Elephas maximus indicus: one gene and its partner. The protein of the gene in region 1 interacts with the protein of each later gene in a pairwise test. Links are inferred from orthologs where the notes say so. Each region holds a gene or a part of one and is shown on either strand. Other genes may lie near its edges.

Evidence for each region.
Region 2: the proteins of PSTPIP1 (region 1) and protocadherin beta-14 interact in binary tests that used the Homo sapiens proteins (3 or more experiments, as listed by UniProt). The two-hybrid records come from large-scale screens. The link is inferred for Elephas maximus indicus from reciprocal best matches to the Homo sapiens genes PSTPIP1 and PCDHB14.

Annotation. Positions count from the first base shown.
Region 1 is NC_064831.1:66,555,937-66,563,850, forward strand, and holds the start of PSTPIP1 (proline-serine-threonine phosphatase-interacting protein 1), read right to left. Parts: upstream 3,703-7,914; 5' UTR 3,246-3,702; coding exon 3,210-3,245; intron 1-3,209. UniProt on the Homo sapiens protein: Involved in regulation of the actin cytoskeleton. May regulate WAS actin-bundling activity. Bridges the interaction between ABL1 and PTPN18 leading to ABL1 dephosphorylation.
Region 2 is NC_064820.1:154,542,544-154,551,134, reverse strand, and holds the start of protocadherin beta-14, read right to left. Parts: upstream 3,772-8,591; 5' UTR 175-3,771; coding exon 1-174. Other genes in the region: protocadherin beta-12-like, read right to left, coding at 7,849-8,591. UniProt on the Homo sapiens protein: Potential calcium-dependent cell-adhesion protein. May be involved in the establishment and maintenance of specific neuronal connections in the brain.

The sequences.
Region 1 (7,914 bases):
CTCCCTGCCCAGGGTATACTGCGAGCTAGTGCCAGAGTAGGGCTTGTTCTCACTTGTGTTCTGGATGGGTGAGGTGGCTAGGTAACTGAAGACTGTAGTATTAGACAAGATCCTTCCAGTTTAGGGGTTTCCTTCCACTTTTGAAAGACTGGAGCCCTGGTGGCGCAGTGGTTAAGAGCTACCAAAAGGTCAGCACTTCAAATCTACCAGCTGCTCCTTGGAAACCCTATGGGGCAGTTCTATTCGGTCATGTAGGGTTGTTATGAGACCAACTCCTGGGCAATGGGTTTACTTAAAGACTAGTGGTTTTCAGACAGTGCGCTGCTGCCAGGCTGGGTGTAGTGGGAAAGTGGGGGTGGGGGTGGGGACAAACAGACCAGGTCTGTCCCTAAAATGCCCACTTCAGTCAGAGCTGTGTGTTTTTGTCTGTTTTGCAGATTCGTCTATAAATTGACCCTCTTACCCCTCTGGGAAGTAGAAAGAACAGAATTTTCCCCATCATTTCACGAATGTAGACTCAGAGGCCCAAAGATCCAGTGATCAGCTGAATGAATAAAGAAAAAATGTAGCACAACCAGCCTGTTGCCTTAACCCCAGCTATGTGACCTTGGGCAAGTTGCTTAAATTCACTGTGTCTCTATTTCTTCATCTGAACAACAGGGATGACAATAGCATCTACTTCCTGGGTTGCTGTGAGGATTGTTTTTAGCTCCCATAGAGTCAGCCCTTGACTCATGGCAACCCAATGCACTATGGAACGAAACACTGTCCAGTCCTTCAACAGCCCCATAATTACCAAGGGACAGATTACCCAACAAACAAGGTATGCACGGGCTTGCTTGTGCTTACTCGCCAATCTGTAGTGCACAATTTCACCTCTTTTTCACCAGATCTTTGCTGTGGTGAAGCCTATGTGAAATTGTGCACTGGAGATTAGTAAGTAAACACAAGTAAGCCTGTGTGTACCTTGCTTATTGGGTAATCTATCCCCTGGTTTCAGACCAGATAGTTGTGATCAATAGGGCTTTCATTGGCTTATTTTTGGAAGTAGCTTGCCAGGCCTTTCTTCCTAGTTCATCTTAGTTTGGACTTAGTTTGGAAGCTCCTCTGAAACCTGTTCAGCATCATAGCAGCACACAAGGCTCCACTGACAGACGGTTCATTGTACTTGAGGTTCATTGGCCAGGATTTGAACCCCGGTCTCCCAATGGAAGGTGAGAATCCTACTGCTAAAGCACCACTGCCTGGCCGTGCAGGTTAGATGAATTAATACATACACAGGCCTGAGAACAGCGCCTGACACATCGTTGGTGCTCAGTGAATGTTAGTTGTCGTCATGGCTGGGCTGGGCTGAACATCACCAGGGCTGTTAGAATTCAGAGCTCTTGGGGCAAGTGATACTGACAGTGACTTTGGGGCGTCTGCCCAGGCTGAATCTGAGAGGCTCTTGCTGGCCTCTTCTCTCCCCTTCTCCGTCTGGCCTTCCCTGGGAAAGCTTCAGCCTCACCCAGCCCAGGGAGCAGCCATGGAGGAGAGAGGTACCTGGAGGCCACGAGGTACACAGCCACTCGGACATGGGGTAAGCACTCAGCATGGATGGGATGCCACTGCTCAGGAGGAACCCACCGCTGATGGGCTGGGTTCTCGCCACTGCTGCTGCTTTTGCTTCTGCTGCTGCCACACCCTGTTTCTTTAAGTCCCCTCCCCCTCCTTCCTCCCACCCAGATCCTGTCATGGGGGCTGCTCCTTGCCTCAGTTCTATCCCAGGGAAGATGAGCCCAGGGTCTCTGGGCAGGGACAGAACAGTGAGGGTCTCCTAGCCTGGCCTGGGCTGGCGGCCTGCATTTCCAGGCTCTACCCCTTCCCCTAACTTTAGACTCCAAGTCAGGGCAATGACGTGGTGACTCTCTGCCCCCACCCCCAGCCCCCAACTTGGGGCTCCAGCTGCCAGTCCAGCAGAGAACACCCTGGTGTTCAAAATGAGCCCAACCAGCTCCTCTGGGCTGGTCCCAGCCCCTCTTTGTGAAGAAGGGGCAACAGAGGCCCCGAGAGGGGCAGAGTGCCCTCCTCAGCCTAAGCTTTTGCCCACTGTGCAGTTAACGAAGGTGGGATCAGGCCACTTACACAATGGCCACCGGCCCTGAGCAGAGTGTGGTCCAAAAGAGAAGGAAGGCAGGCCTGGCTCATTATTAGCTCTCATCTCTCTGGCTCCTGGCCCCAAGAAAGGACCTGGGGAGGGCCAGGCTGTTGGCTGGGGCTGAGCCTGCTGAACACAACAAGACCAGAGAGCCCTCTGCAGGGTTGGAAGGAGCACCCTGGGGACAGCCAGGCTTAAGGAGCAGAGGGGATGGTTAAAGGACAGCTGGAAAAAAGCTGAGGGGATCTGTGATCCAAACTGGGCTTACTAGCCCTGTGACCTGGGCCAAGCCATTTTACCTCCATGAGCCAGCCAGCTATTTCCCAGGGAGGGAAGGAGGACTCTTCAGGCCTGTGCTGGATTTAATACTGCGAGCAAGGAATTGCCCAGCCCATCCTGCTACCTTGAAAGACCCCCAAGGTCTCCAAACGAAAAGGTGTTGGGTGAGGGAAGGAGAATTACCATTTGGTGTGCCAGCAACATTCTGGGGGCATTATTACATTAGTTCACCTTGTTTAATCCTCCCGTTCATTTGATATATTTATTATTATTATCTATCTTCACTAAAAAAAAAAAAAAAAATTTTTTTTTTTCAATCTTCACTGTATAGATGGGGAAGGTGGGGCTCAGACACCTACAATTGCAGAGCCAAGGTATGAACCAAGTTTTTCTGGTGCCCGAACCTGACACCCTCTCCTCCACCCCACATGGCCTCCTCAAGCCCCCACCTGCATGCTAAAAAAAAAAAAAACGCATGCTAGACTCTCCTAAAAAGGTCCTGCTGTGGGGGAGGGGTCTCTCAGAGGAAAAACCAGTCCTGGAAGTGCAGAGGACATCCCTTGCCCATGGTGGTGAAGTTGCAGGGAAGTCAGTACCCCCTTCGCCTTCCAGCTCAGAAGGGAAAGTAGCCTAGACCACCTCCATGACAAAGTTGTATATCAATCACTACTTTTATGAGACAGCCTGCATCTGGGAGCTATATCCCCCTCCAACTTCCATGGAAAATTTCAGCTTCCCCAGAGCCTATTCCACTCTCTCAATGCCCTCCCCCGCGCCCCCAGCCTTCACTCACCCAAAAGGCATCTCTGAAGTGCAGCTGGGGCATCATCCTTGGGCTCTACTGTGGCAAATCAAGCTCTCCTGCCCCAGGCAGGGCCGTCTGAGGGCCAAGAGCAAGGAGCACTGTCCAGTGCCCAGTGTCGGCAGGGCTGGCCCAAGCCCCTCTCCCCGGCTGTCACCGTCTGCAGCAGCTCAGAAGGCAGCTGCAAGCCAGAACTGCTGAAGGGAGGGAAAGGGCTCAACCTGTTTTGTTTGGGGCTAGAATCCGCAGCAAAATGAGGAAGGAGCAATGCCCAGTGATGAGAGGGCGGGCCCCGGTGTCCGGCCCAGCCCCTCTCCAGCCCAGCGGGTGATAGAGAACACAGCCCAGTTCCAGGGCAGGGAGAGGAGATGCCAGCCCCAGGCAGGAGGCAGCGGCTCTTGAGAGAGGCAGGCTGGGACTCAGGCCAGGGAGGCAGGCAGCCTGAGGCCTGCACAGGAAGGTTTGTGCAACCTCCCCTGGGGCAGGCACTAGGGCCTTCATTCACAGGAAGTGGAGCCGCTGTGCTCTTCTATGCAGCCCTGCCTGCCACCTGCCACTCTCCCTGCTTGCCTCTGCTTGCCCTTTAGTGGCGGCCCCCTGCTGGGGTGTCTCAACCTGAGAAGGGGCAGGGACATTCTCAGAAGCCATACATTTAGGGAGCTTGTTGTTGTTGTTAGGTGCCATTGAATCAATTTTTAACTCATAGTAAACCCAAGTGACAGAGTAGAGCTGCCCCAGAGGGTTTTCTAATCTTTACAGGGGCAGATTGCCAGGTCTTTCTCCCGAGGAGCCTCTGGGTGAATTCAAACTGCGAATCTTTTGGTTAGCAGCTGAGTGCTTAACCATTGCTCCACCAGGACTCCTTTTAGAGCTTGGGGCCCACTAAAGGCGTGGGCAAGAAGAGCCCAGGAACTTCAGGTTCTGTCTCCCACCAGTCCAGCCAGATCCACTCCCTGCCAGGCCAGCACAAAAATGCTAGACTCTTTACTCCTCAGCAGGAATCTATTCAGGAGGGTGTCATCTAGGCCTGGACATCTATCCTTCATCAAACTTTGCTCTGTGCCCCAGACCAGGTCCTGCCCTCAAGGAGCTCACATTCTCAGGGCAGACACAGCTGTACTCTGGGGGGCTGTAGGAACATAGAGGTGGGGATGAGTGGGCATCTAGCCAAGGAAGAACAGCCTGCGACCTCACAGGCACTGCCCCCAAGTCTCCAGATTAGACACTGTGGGCCAGGGAGGCCCACTCTGGAGGTGGAGCCTTAAGGCTTCGTGAACATGGTTGAACTGAGAGAGAGACGGAGGCGGGAGTTTGAAAACTGAGGTTGAGGCTCCGGGTTTTGTTTGGCTTGGGCACTACACACTTCAGTGGCTGAGGGACTTCAATAAACCCTCCAACTCTCTGAGTCTCAGTTTCCCCATCTGCCACCCCCAGCCTTTGGAAAGGGGATGGCATTGAGAACACTTGTGGAATTTCTGGTTCGGTTGGGCAGGTGTTGGAGGCACTGTCTGGTACCACCTTGGAAAGAGCCCTGGGCTAGAGCCCTGAGGAGCCAGGTGCCCACTCAGCAGAAGATGCCAGCAGGGCAGCCTGGCAAAAAGGGATGAGTCAGGGACCATCCACAAATCACTACCTTGCTGGTATCTCCCTTACAATTGGCGGGAATGATAAGATAGATGAGAGCTGAAGCAGAAGCAGGCTCGCCAAGCTCCCAAGTGCCAGTTATGCGTGCCTGGGGTTTAGGGAGATGGGCCCACCCAGGCTTCTGAAACAGCCACCGGGGAGAGAACACATGATTCCTCAAGTGTTTTTCTGAACATAAGTAATTTTAATTCAAAGAGAGAGAGAGAAGACGTGGGGGAGAATTGCAGAGCAGGGGGGCTGGCGCTGCTGCACTGCTCCTAGAAGCCCCCCGCCGCCCCACCTCCAGACTCCTTCTGGTTTGAGCTAATGAAAGAAAGTCTTTAGCGGTGAAGGCTCCTCAAGTCAGGTTTTCTGTTGCTTTCAGCTGAAGACAGCTAATGGGGCAAAATATCACCTTAAACCCCCAAGGCTATATACTATGGCTGTATTTCTCAATCCAGTGGTTTCACCACCTCTAACATCACTGACTCAGCCCAGTGGCAACATTAGGGGGGCCCAGGTGGCATGGACCACACCCAGTGACACTGTCAGAGGAGGTGACACCAAAATAACTGTTTATAAAATTTTTGTGCTGCGTCTCAACAGAAATTTGTTATTTTTTATAACAATATCCCTGTAGTTAGCTATAACAGCAAAAACATTTTTTGTAAGCCCAGCTTACATGTATCAATATACCTACAAGGCTAAAGCTCTATGCTAATTATTCACTTTTTGAACCTTCTAATGTCTTTTGGTCAGAGCGGTCATTATTACCCAATTACAATGATCCTTCGAGTCACATGGTTTCATCTGCACATGCTACAAGCACGTGCTGGTTTTTTCATTGCTGCTGGTATTTTTCTAGTTGCTGATTTGGCCAAATTTCCTGGTGTTTTAGCTACAACATTGTTGTAATTAGCATCTGTAAACCTGTATCGTAACTTTTTTTGAAAATGAAGTAGTAATTAAAGGAAAAGGAGTGATATACAAGAATTATGATTTACTAGGAGCATTAGTACAAAAAACGTTACTAGGGATTTTGTATGGTCTGGCACAGGAAGAAATCCATGGCGGTGGGGGTGGGTATTACACCATGAGTTACTGCACTGGGTGACACTAACTCTGTGAAGCCACTGACTCAGCATCCCTGGGCTCAGTGTTTCCATCTGTCAAATGGGGTGATGTCTCTAGTTCTGGAAGCAGACTAGAGCCCTTTTGTACCCTCTTATTGGCAGAAAACTTGACTACCAGGCTCCCTTCCATGACTCTCCAGGTGTTGCTCCCTTAACCTTTTATGACAAATTTCTACTCCAAACAGGCTTCCTCCCTCTCACCAAAACCCCCTTCCCACTCCTACCTCCAAAATGTTGCTGCATTTTTTGTGCCTCCCTTCTGGCATGCCTTCCTTGAACTTCTTTACCTGGACAAGTTCTCCCCTCTCTCAAGCCCAGCTCAAGTCTACCACACAGGAGGTCTTCCTTTCCCAATTGCTCTGGTCCACCCAGGGCAGCCCTGGGCAGATGGCCATGCTGGCTGTGGGCTGGAGAAATTGGGGAAGGAAGTGATGGGAGGAACTCCAAAGTTCTCTGCTAAAAGGAAGTCTTCCTCCTTCCCTCCCCCCACACCCTTCTGCTGGTCCCAAGGCTTTGTGACTAGAACAGCTAATTCCAGCTTTGGAGTGCATCATTAAGCTTTTCACACACCCTCACCCGCTTCTATGGGATACATACTATTATTATTCTCATTTTACAGGTGAGAAAACTAGTCATTAAAGAGTCTATGTGGAACTCTTATGCACTGCTAGTGGGAATGTAAAATGATATAACCACTATGGAAAACAATATGGTGCCTCCTTAAAAAGTTAGAAATAGAAATACCGTATGATCCAGCAATCCCATTACTAGGAATATATCCTAAAGAAATAAGAGCCATCACACAATTAGACATATGCACACCCCCATGTTCATTGCAACATTATTCACAATAGCAAAAAAATGGAAACAACCTAAGTGTCCTTCAACAGTTGAATGGATAAACAAACTATGGTGCATATACAATAGAATACTATGCAACGATAAAGAACAGTGATGAATCTGCAAAACATTTCATAACGTGGATGAATCTGGAGGGCATTATGTTGAGTGAAATAAGTAAATCACAAAAGGACAAATAGTGTATGAGACCACTATTATAAAACTCAAAGAAAGGTTTACACGCAGAAAAAAACAAACTTTGATGGTTACGAGGGAGAGAAAGGGTAGGGAGGGGAAATTGCTAACTAGATAGTAGACAAGAGTCAACTTTGATAAAGGGAAAGACAATACACAATATAGGGAAAGTCAATACAGCTTGACTAAGGCAAAGTCCTAGAAGCTCCCTAGACACATCCAAACACATTGAGAGACTGAGTTACTGGGGCTGAGGGCCGGGGGCCACGGTCTCAGGGGATATCTGGATCAATTGACATAACATAGTTCATAAAGAAAATGCTCTACATCCTACTTTGGTGAGTAGCATCTGGGGTCTTAAAAACTTGTGAGCGACCATCTAAGATACATCCATTGATCCCATCCCATTTGGAGCAAAGGAGAATGAAGAAAACCAAAGACGCAAGTGTTACGGATTGAATTGTGTCCCCCCAAAATTGTGTCAGCTTGACTAGGCCATGATTCCCAGTATTGTGTGATTGTCCACTGTTTTGTCATCTGATGTGATTTTCCTGTGTGTTGTAAATCCCACCTCTACGATGTTAATGAGGCAGTACTCAATCTACAAGATTACGTTGTATCTTAAGCCAATCTCTTTTGAGGTATAAAAGAGAGAAGCGAGGAGAGAGACATGGGGACCTGATACCACCAAGAAAGTAGTGCCAGGAGCAAAGTGCGTATTTTGGACCCAGGGTTCCTGCACTGAGAAGCTCCTTGACCAGAGAAGATGGATGACAAGGACCTTCCCCCACAGAAAGAGAAGGCCATTCCCTGGAGCTGGCACCCTGAACTCGAATTTTTAGCCTCCTAGACTGTGAGAGAATAAATTTGTCTTTGTTAAAGACACCCACTTGTGGTATTTCTGT
Region 2 (8,591 bases), on another chromosome or scaffold:
CTCTACCTTCAGCCCCAGGTCCCTTGCCAGACTGGCCACAAAGGAGCCAATTTCCCTTTCCTCTGCCACTGAATAGCGCCCAGATTGAAGACGCGCCTGAGACAATCCCAGCAAAACAAAGAGAATCAGGACTTGCCTTTTCCGCAGCAGAGCAAGCGCCCCTCTGGTATCCATGGGTCCTTCAGGCAAACACTTGTGTGGAAAATTTAAACTGCAGCCCTAATTCTGGAAGGCTGAATTTCTGATTTTTCTATATGAACCCCCTGGAAGGTATACAACCCTCCAGCGGCTCTGTAGGTGAAGCTCCTTTAACGCCTCTCTTTTCAGTGGACCGGATGATCTCTGTTCTCCTGAATGACGAAGCCCACAGAGTCATCCCGTGCATCGTTTTTCATCTTATCCTGCAGCGCCACCATGCGTCTCCGAAATTTTTTCATTAAAATTTTTTGTGTCTTTGAACAAGCAATTCATGAACACATCTGGAATATTTTAAAGCAGATCCTAGACATCATACATTGTTTCCTCCGAATATTTCAGTATCTCTAATAGATAAGAACTTTTAAAATATAGCCACAATACCACTGTCACAACCAACAAACTTAGCAATAATTCCTTAATATAATTTAAACTTAGTCTGTTTGTTTTCCTCCAGTTTTCTCCACAATTTATTTTATTGTTGTTTGTTTGCTTTTAATCAGGATCCAAGCAAGGTGTGTACACAGCATTTTAATTGCCACTTTTTTGAAGGCCTGGCAAGAAGGATCCATTAATGTCTTTGGGTGAAGAAATAATATTTTTTTCAGGCCATTTCTTGAGTAATTACAAATATATTCTCTACTCCATTCTTGTAAATACTTGAGTTCAGCCATTTATAGTTAGTAATGTCATTACTTTTATCACATTGCTATTTTAAAAAATACGTGCGTGTAGTTGGGAAAATCAAACATCACAAAATGGTACACAGTTAAGTATAAGTCTCTTTCCCTCACTTAAGGTCCAGTCTACATTCTCAGAGGCAATGCCAATTTCTTGTATTTCTTCCGTAGATGTCCATGTACCTACTAGCATATATATCAGTAAAGTCATTTCATCAAATTAAATCCCGATTATACATTTATTTGTGGTATATGTAAAGAACTATAAAACATGGTCCACATTCTTTAAAAAGCTTTAACACTTAAAAGGAAAAAATATAAAACAAGTAGTAAATAGCTGATAATGTAGCAAGACTAGTTTCATGGGCAGTGAATACACAGAAAATGGGCATGGGCACCCAAGTATGCCTATATTTTTCTCACTCCTGACAAGTGTACACACAGCAAGTGAAATTTGGATTGGCCTTAAGCAGCGTACATATATGAATTGTTGCTCAGGGGTAGAGAACATTTCAAGCATGAAGCAGAGCATGACATCACTGAAGATATACAGAGACGATATCCCTGACAGGGAGGTAGAAAGAAGTAAGAAATGGACAGTACTATAATATGAAATAAGATCATAAGAGCATTTAGTTTCCATTTCTGAAAATTTGTGAAATTATTGCTTATGCACAGAAATATTTTTCTTGCTAAACTTAGTTGAGTCGATCTTCAAAATAGAGTTTATACTTGAGTAAAACAAAAGGAATAATTTTAAATACCTTTATTTATGCTTCCATTAAGCAAGTATTCAAATGCTTTCTCAGTTTTCAGGCACAACACTAGGCTCTAAGGACATGACATGAATAAGATATAGCCCTTGTCTTGATGGAGCTCACAGGCCACAAATATTGGCAGACAGATAATTAAAATATGTCATAGTGCATGCATGGGCAATGTGAAATACTCAAAAAGAACAGCTTGTGCCTGCGAGACAGCATATCATAGTGGTTAAGAACATAGACTCTGGAACCAAGATGTCTGCATCAGAATCCTGGCTCTGCTGCTCACTAGCTATAGACTTGAACAAGTTACCTAGCCTCTATGTGCCTCTGTTTCCTTACCTGCAAAATAGGGTTGATGATAGCATTTACCTCCTAGGATTATCACTGTAGGAACCTAATGAGTTAATATTTATTAAGTGGTTAGCAAGTGCTAGGTAAGTATCTGTCAACAACTAAAATAAATAAAACCTAACCCAGACTTGGGTCATCAGGGAAAGCTTTCCTGAGGTAGTGAACTATAAGTTGTGATCTGAGGGAGCTAGCCAGGAGAGGGAGGGATGTTTCTCACAGGCGTTTTCAGTATGTCTTGAACCTTGAACCATGGAAGAGGAGAATTTATACTTGTGATTAGGGGTAAAAGCAGGGCTAGAACATGAATAATTACATAAGTCGTATCATGCATGTTTTAATTTATCCTAAGGCATTTAAAATACAATACAGCACTTAAGAAATGATTAACATGCTCACATCTGCCTCTCTGAAATATCTGCCTTGCTGCAATATGGAGAATTAATTTCAGGGAGTGAGACTGGAACCAGAGAGACCAGTTAGGAGACGATGGTGGCCTGTACCAGGGTAATGCCAGTGTGGGTGGAGAGAAGAGGGAAGATTAGAAATGTATTTAGGATATGAAATATGTAGGACCTGGTGATTGATAGGTGGCATGGGGACAAAAAGAGGAAAGACTCAAGGCTGATTACTACCACACTTCTGGATTGGCAATTGGGTGGCTAGTAGTATCATTCACTAAAACTGGGAATGCTGAAAAATAAAGCAAGTTGAGGTGGAAGAAGATTATGTGTTCAGTTTTGGACATGCCGATACTGACTTTGATGCTTGTAGAATATACACCCCCCTGTGGGGAATGTGTGTGTGTGTGTGTGTAAGTAAAGCATAGGAAGTAAACCTAGGCTGGAGATAAGGACTTTGGACTTTGGGATTTATCGGGATATATATGGTGATTAAAACTGTAAGAGCACGAAGATAACCAAGCGAAAGTGTGTCAAGTAAGAATAGAAGAGGGCTTAGGACAGAACTCTGAGAAAATACCTTCATTTAGAGGAGAGAGAGTAAGAAGTGTGTTTGAAAAGACAGAGGGAAGGTCCCGAGTTCAATATTGTGAAACTTAAGCAAATAAAATTGCAAGGAGATGAGGAAACTCAATATTATCAAATGCTTCAGAAAAGTCAGAATTAAAATTGTCCATTGAATTTAAGAAGACAATCATTGTGGAAGATTCTGATGAATGTCTACCAAAATCTCTTTTGCGTTTCTTCTATAGTAATAGAAGTGTACCCAACACGTGGCTACTCAGATGGCCTGCCTGTCTCAGCCTTCTTTGTAGCTGGGGGTAGCCAAGTGAATTAAGCTCTCACAGACAGGCTGTGAGCAGAATTTTGGTTTGGCAATTTTCAGTCTGGAATGGAAGACATCTTGGTGTACCACCTCTTTTCCAATCAGCCAGACCCTTAGTGTGGCATTGACCCAGCTACGGCCATGCAGACTATGACGTTGCCATAAATAATGTTGGAACAAGTACTGGGAGCAAAATTTGGTCCAAAAAGACTGTGAGGAGCAAAACTGCTCTATCTACCTAATCATTTACGTTTGAACTGTTACATGAAAGAGATACACCTTCTACAAGCCTCTGTACTCTTTGTTTCAGCAGCGTAACCTTACTTAACTTATACAGAAATCTTTGATGACCTTTACAATGGGAGTTTCAGTAGAGTGGTTGTGATGAAAATTAGATTGTGCTTGACTGAAAAGTGATGAGGGAGGGAAAATGAGGATAGACAACTCTTTCAAGAAATTTGGTTGTAAAAAAGTAAATAGATCTGTATCTGGAGGAAAATTTAGACTCTTGAGTTTTTTTTTTTTTTTAAGATTAGAGAGACTTAACATATATAAAATGTCCATGTCTGGTGTTCTGTAGAGAGGGGAGTATTTAAGATACAGAAGAAAGGAGATAATCAACGTGAAGCCCCCAGAAGATGGTTAAAGATGAGATCGAGATAATGTATGAAGGAATTGCACTTAGATAGGTGGAAGGGACCTTAGCAGGGGGAAGAAGAGATACAGATGTTGTCAAAGCTGTAGTTTGGGGGTCAGAAAACTGAGAGAATTCTCATCTGATGGATTCTATTTTCTCTGTAACGTTTTAGGCAGGTTCATCTGTAAAAGGGAATATGTAAGTGGTAGGGTGAGAAATTTAAGTTAAATACATTTGAAATATTTGTTATGAAGAATAGAAGAGAAAGCATCATTAGGAAAATATAAAAGAGTTTCTTGTTGCTGAAAGTCTAAGTTTGATGTGAAAAATTTATCATACCAGCAGTATTGATAATTTTGTAATTTTCTCTTATAAAGTGTAATGTCCCAAGGGTAAGATGGGAGAATGCAGACAATTACATTCATTGGGATAGAGTTTCACCATATGGGACAACTAAACAAGACAATTGAGAATATGGGTGAGAGAGAGATTGGGAAGGATAAGCCTGGGTATCAGTAAAATATAAAGGAAATTGGAACAAGAAAGGAGTTGGGTAGGTAGTAGCAGCATCCTGGAATGGAAATCCTGATAAGGTCAAAGACAAGATGCAATGAAAGTAGAAGATGAAAGAGTTAAAAGGATAGAAAATTGTGTTCTTAGAGGAAGTTATCTGAAATTATTATTTCACAGAAGGATCGATTCTGGGTGGTGAAAAGCATAGCATGTATCTATACATTCATTAATGATTGAACTGGAGTAGAGGTGAAGACCTTGGGACTGGGAGAACGTGTTGTTATATTAAACGGTGGGGCCAGAAGTGGTGGTACGACTTGAAGTGGAAAGGAAGATGAGAAGAAGGATGTGTTCGTAAGCTAAAATATACTTAAGTGCTTTCTTTCCCATACTCTTGGCTAATTCCATATTATATCCAGTGGATATAAGACCACTTCCTAAATTTACAGTCTGCTACTTGATTCCTATGAACTGGTTTAAATTTATGTATAAATGACGTATTTGAAGTGAAAGAGCAAAATTTGTTTTTAGCATTATGTTTCAGGACAAGTATTTAGTCACTTGTGCCTGGCATCTGAGCTCCTGGGCCTGGCCACTCTTCATTAGAGTCAGGAAATGCATAGTTCTTTCCATAAATAAAGAAGTCCTGCTGCTCATATATGGGGAAAAAATTGAACAGTAGACGAGTACCTGGTCCTTGCCTCTGTTTTTGTACCTGTTAGATTCTCCATCTGCCATCTGAATAGCTCTGTCCTCCTGCCCCATTATAGATGAGATAAGGCTCAGCTTACTTGGGACCACAGGCTGCTAGGAGCATGGCACCTTTATTTTTTAAAGTTTTGTTATCTATCATACCATAAAGCCCACCCATTTAAAGTATACAATTAAATGGCTTTTAGAATATTTATAGAGTTGTGCAACTATCACCACAATCTAATTTTAGACCATTTCCATCATCATCCAAAAAAAAGAAACCTTGTACCTGTTAGCAGTCACTGTCCATCCCTCCCCGCCAGCCGTAAGCAACCGCTAAGCTAGTAATCTACTTTCTGTCTCCATAAATTTGTCTACTCTGAACATTTTATATAAATGGGATAATACAATATGTGAACTTTTATGACTGGCTTCTTCCCCTTAGTGTAATGTTTTTGAGGTTCATCTGTGCTGTAGCGTGTATCAGTGCTGCATTCCATTTTATTGCTGAGTAATAACAACTCTCTTGTAGGGAGGTACCACATTGTGTTTATCCACTTGTCAGTTAATGGACGTTTGGGTTATTTCCACTTTTTGGCTATTATGAATAATGCTATTATGAACATTCAGGTGTAAGTTTTTTTGTGTGGACATACATTTTAAATTGTTTTGGGTAGATACGTAGGAGTAGAATTCCTGGGTCACAGGGTAACTCTATGTTTAAAATTTTGAGGAATTGCCAAACTGTTTTCTAATGTGGCTGCACCATTTTACATTCCCACCAGTAATACATTAGGATTCTAATTTCTCCACATCCTCGCCAACAGCTGTTATGGTCTTGTCGGTCTTTTTGATTAGTAATTAATTCTCATGTATGAGAAATGGCTATCTTTATTTTTCACCTTCAGTGTTCTATGTATCTCGTCTGGTATGCTAAGAAGCAATAACCCTGTACAGGGGGTAATCTTTATTGATTAACCAGTATCTTGTGAGTTTTTGTTCTAAAAAAAAAGAAGTTTTCCTTTAGGGGGAAAAATTGCGCTTACTTCCACTTCTGAAAACAGAAAATTAAGATTCAATTAGCCTACATGCACCATAGTTGACTTCTGTTCTCCCCATTTATATTTAATGCAAAGAATAATTAATAGGTCCACACTGGTTTGTTCCACAGTAATGGTTATCTCAGGTATGCTAGAGAAAGGGATTGTACTTCCTGGCGTTATCGATTGACCAATAGACAGCCCCTCTACAGTGCTAAGATAAAGCTTTAAAATATCTTCAAGAGGTGTTTTTCTGCACTGACTCTAGTCTGTTATTAGAAGCAATCACTTTACTCACCCCCATTCATTTCCTCTTTCCTGTGCCTGCTTGCTCTCTCACACACGTCCTTTCTCTCTGTACTCTTACGCGTCTTGTTTAACTGTATTTTCCTTCCGTAACGTGTAGACTTGAGTGACTTTTAAGTGAAATTCATGGGAAATCTCCCCCAGCCATGAAGGCTTTTTCTTCTGTAACTAGTAAGATCATTAAAGGCAAGAGAAGTTGGTTGATGCCTGTGTAGCATGAGATTAAACTGTTTCCCTTACAATGGTTTTAAAAGTTTTTACATGAGAACCCTAAAAGACTATATATTGATACTTCACAATGGTCTCTACATTTGAGTCATTCACTAGTGAATATCATAGTTTTATATCTCTGAGAAAAATGGTTTTCCAACTTTGGATTGCTACCCATTAGCAGGCCTTGAAATCAGTTTAGTGGATCATGACCATATTTGATAATTAGAAAGAATAGAATAGCATAGGCAATTTCAAATTCCATCACAAAAGGCTAAACATTGTTCATAAGACTTCTCTATTATGTCTGTATGTCACATAATATATAAAACAATTTTACTACTGGTTATGGTTTAAAAAGCTTGGAAAACAGTGCCCAGTGTCCAATTCTCACGTTAAATTCTGAGAGAACACAGGCAAAATATTATACACATTAACACACAAGTTCACTTTATGTTACCCAAATTATTGTTTAGATGTCTGCATTCCAGTGGAGTGTCCTAGAGCTTTGTAAAACTGTAATTTCATATCCCAAGAATCTGTGAGTGGTCACAATATTAATACACCTTCATAATTACTTTCCAGGCTGTATAAACAAAAGATACTGAGACACTTGCTTTCCAGCCTTTCTAATTAGATAATTACACTTAGGGTTGTATCACAGGACATGACCATTCAGGTTTGTTTTCAATAGTATTAAATATTTCAAAACATTAATCAAGAAAACGCAGTGGACCTAAAGAAAGAAAAATGACATTTCTAAACAGCAACCAATATTAAACTACAAGAAAAACCACAAAAAAGAATCAAATGAAGAAATGCTTGAACACTTGAATTACTTCCAAAGTGGTCAGTTTTATTTTACAATAAGCATAATTTGGGATCAAAGTTCAACTGGGGTGGGGGTTGGGGACACAGAAAGAAAGTGATTTGGTGTTGTAATTTAGGGAGGCAAATTAATTATAAATTAGATCTCCTGGGTTAGAGAGTAAATTACAATCTCATTACAACTACTAATAAAGATAAACTTTCATTTAAAAGCAAAATTCAGGAGAATATGAGAAAATATTAATATCAGTTCAATTTAAAGTACACACAAATTGGGGAAAATAAACATTGGTTTGGAAGAGCCATAAAACAATATGCACATGGAATATAAAAGTCAATCATGGTCACTGAATACTGAACCCAAAGCTATTGAGAAAGGAAGGATTTTCCTCTATTTCTTTTCCAGGGCCCTGGGGCGGAAAGTTGGGGATAATCGGCTTCAAGAACTTGAACTCATTGGTCCCGGAGCCTCCAGTCAGAAACGCCTCATAGAGGTACCTCTGAGACAAAGTCCCGGTACCGCTAACGTCAACCAAGTGGCTCGGAAAGTGGCCCTCAGGCACCGAACGGCGATCCACCGAGGCGGCCCTGTTCCTCCTGCACAGCCACACAGCGATGAACGAGAGCAAGGAGAACAGGAAGAGCGACGAGACCGACGCCAACGCAATGACCAAGTAGACGGTGAGCGAGTCGGCTTGAGCCTCATCCAGGGCCACCTCTGGCAGCGGCAGGTAGGGCTGCGAGAACCCATCCACCAGGAGCACGTGCAGCGTGACGCTGGTCGACCTCGGTGGCTCGCCATTGTCCTTGACCAGCACGATGAGTCTGTGCTTGACCCCGTCGCGCTCGCTCAGCAGCCTGGCTGTGCGCACCTCGCCATTGTGCGCCCACACGCTGAACAGTCCGGGCTCAGTGGCCTTGAGCAGCTGGTAGGACAGCCAGGCGTTCTGGCCCGAGTCGCTGTCCATCGCCACCACCTTGGTCACCAGGTAGCCCGCCTCGGCAGCCCTGGGCACCAACTCAGTGCAGGGCGCAGAGTCGTTCTGCAGCGGGTAGAGCACGAAGGGCGAGTTGTCGTTTTCGTCCA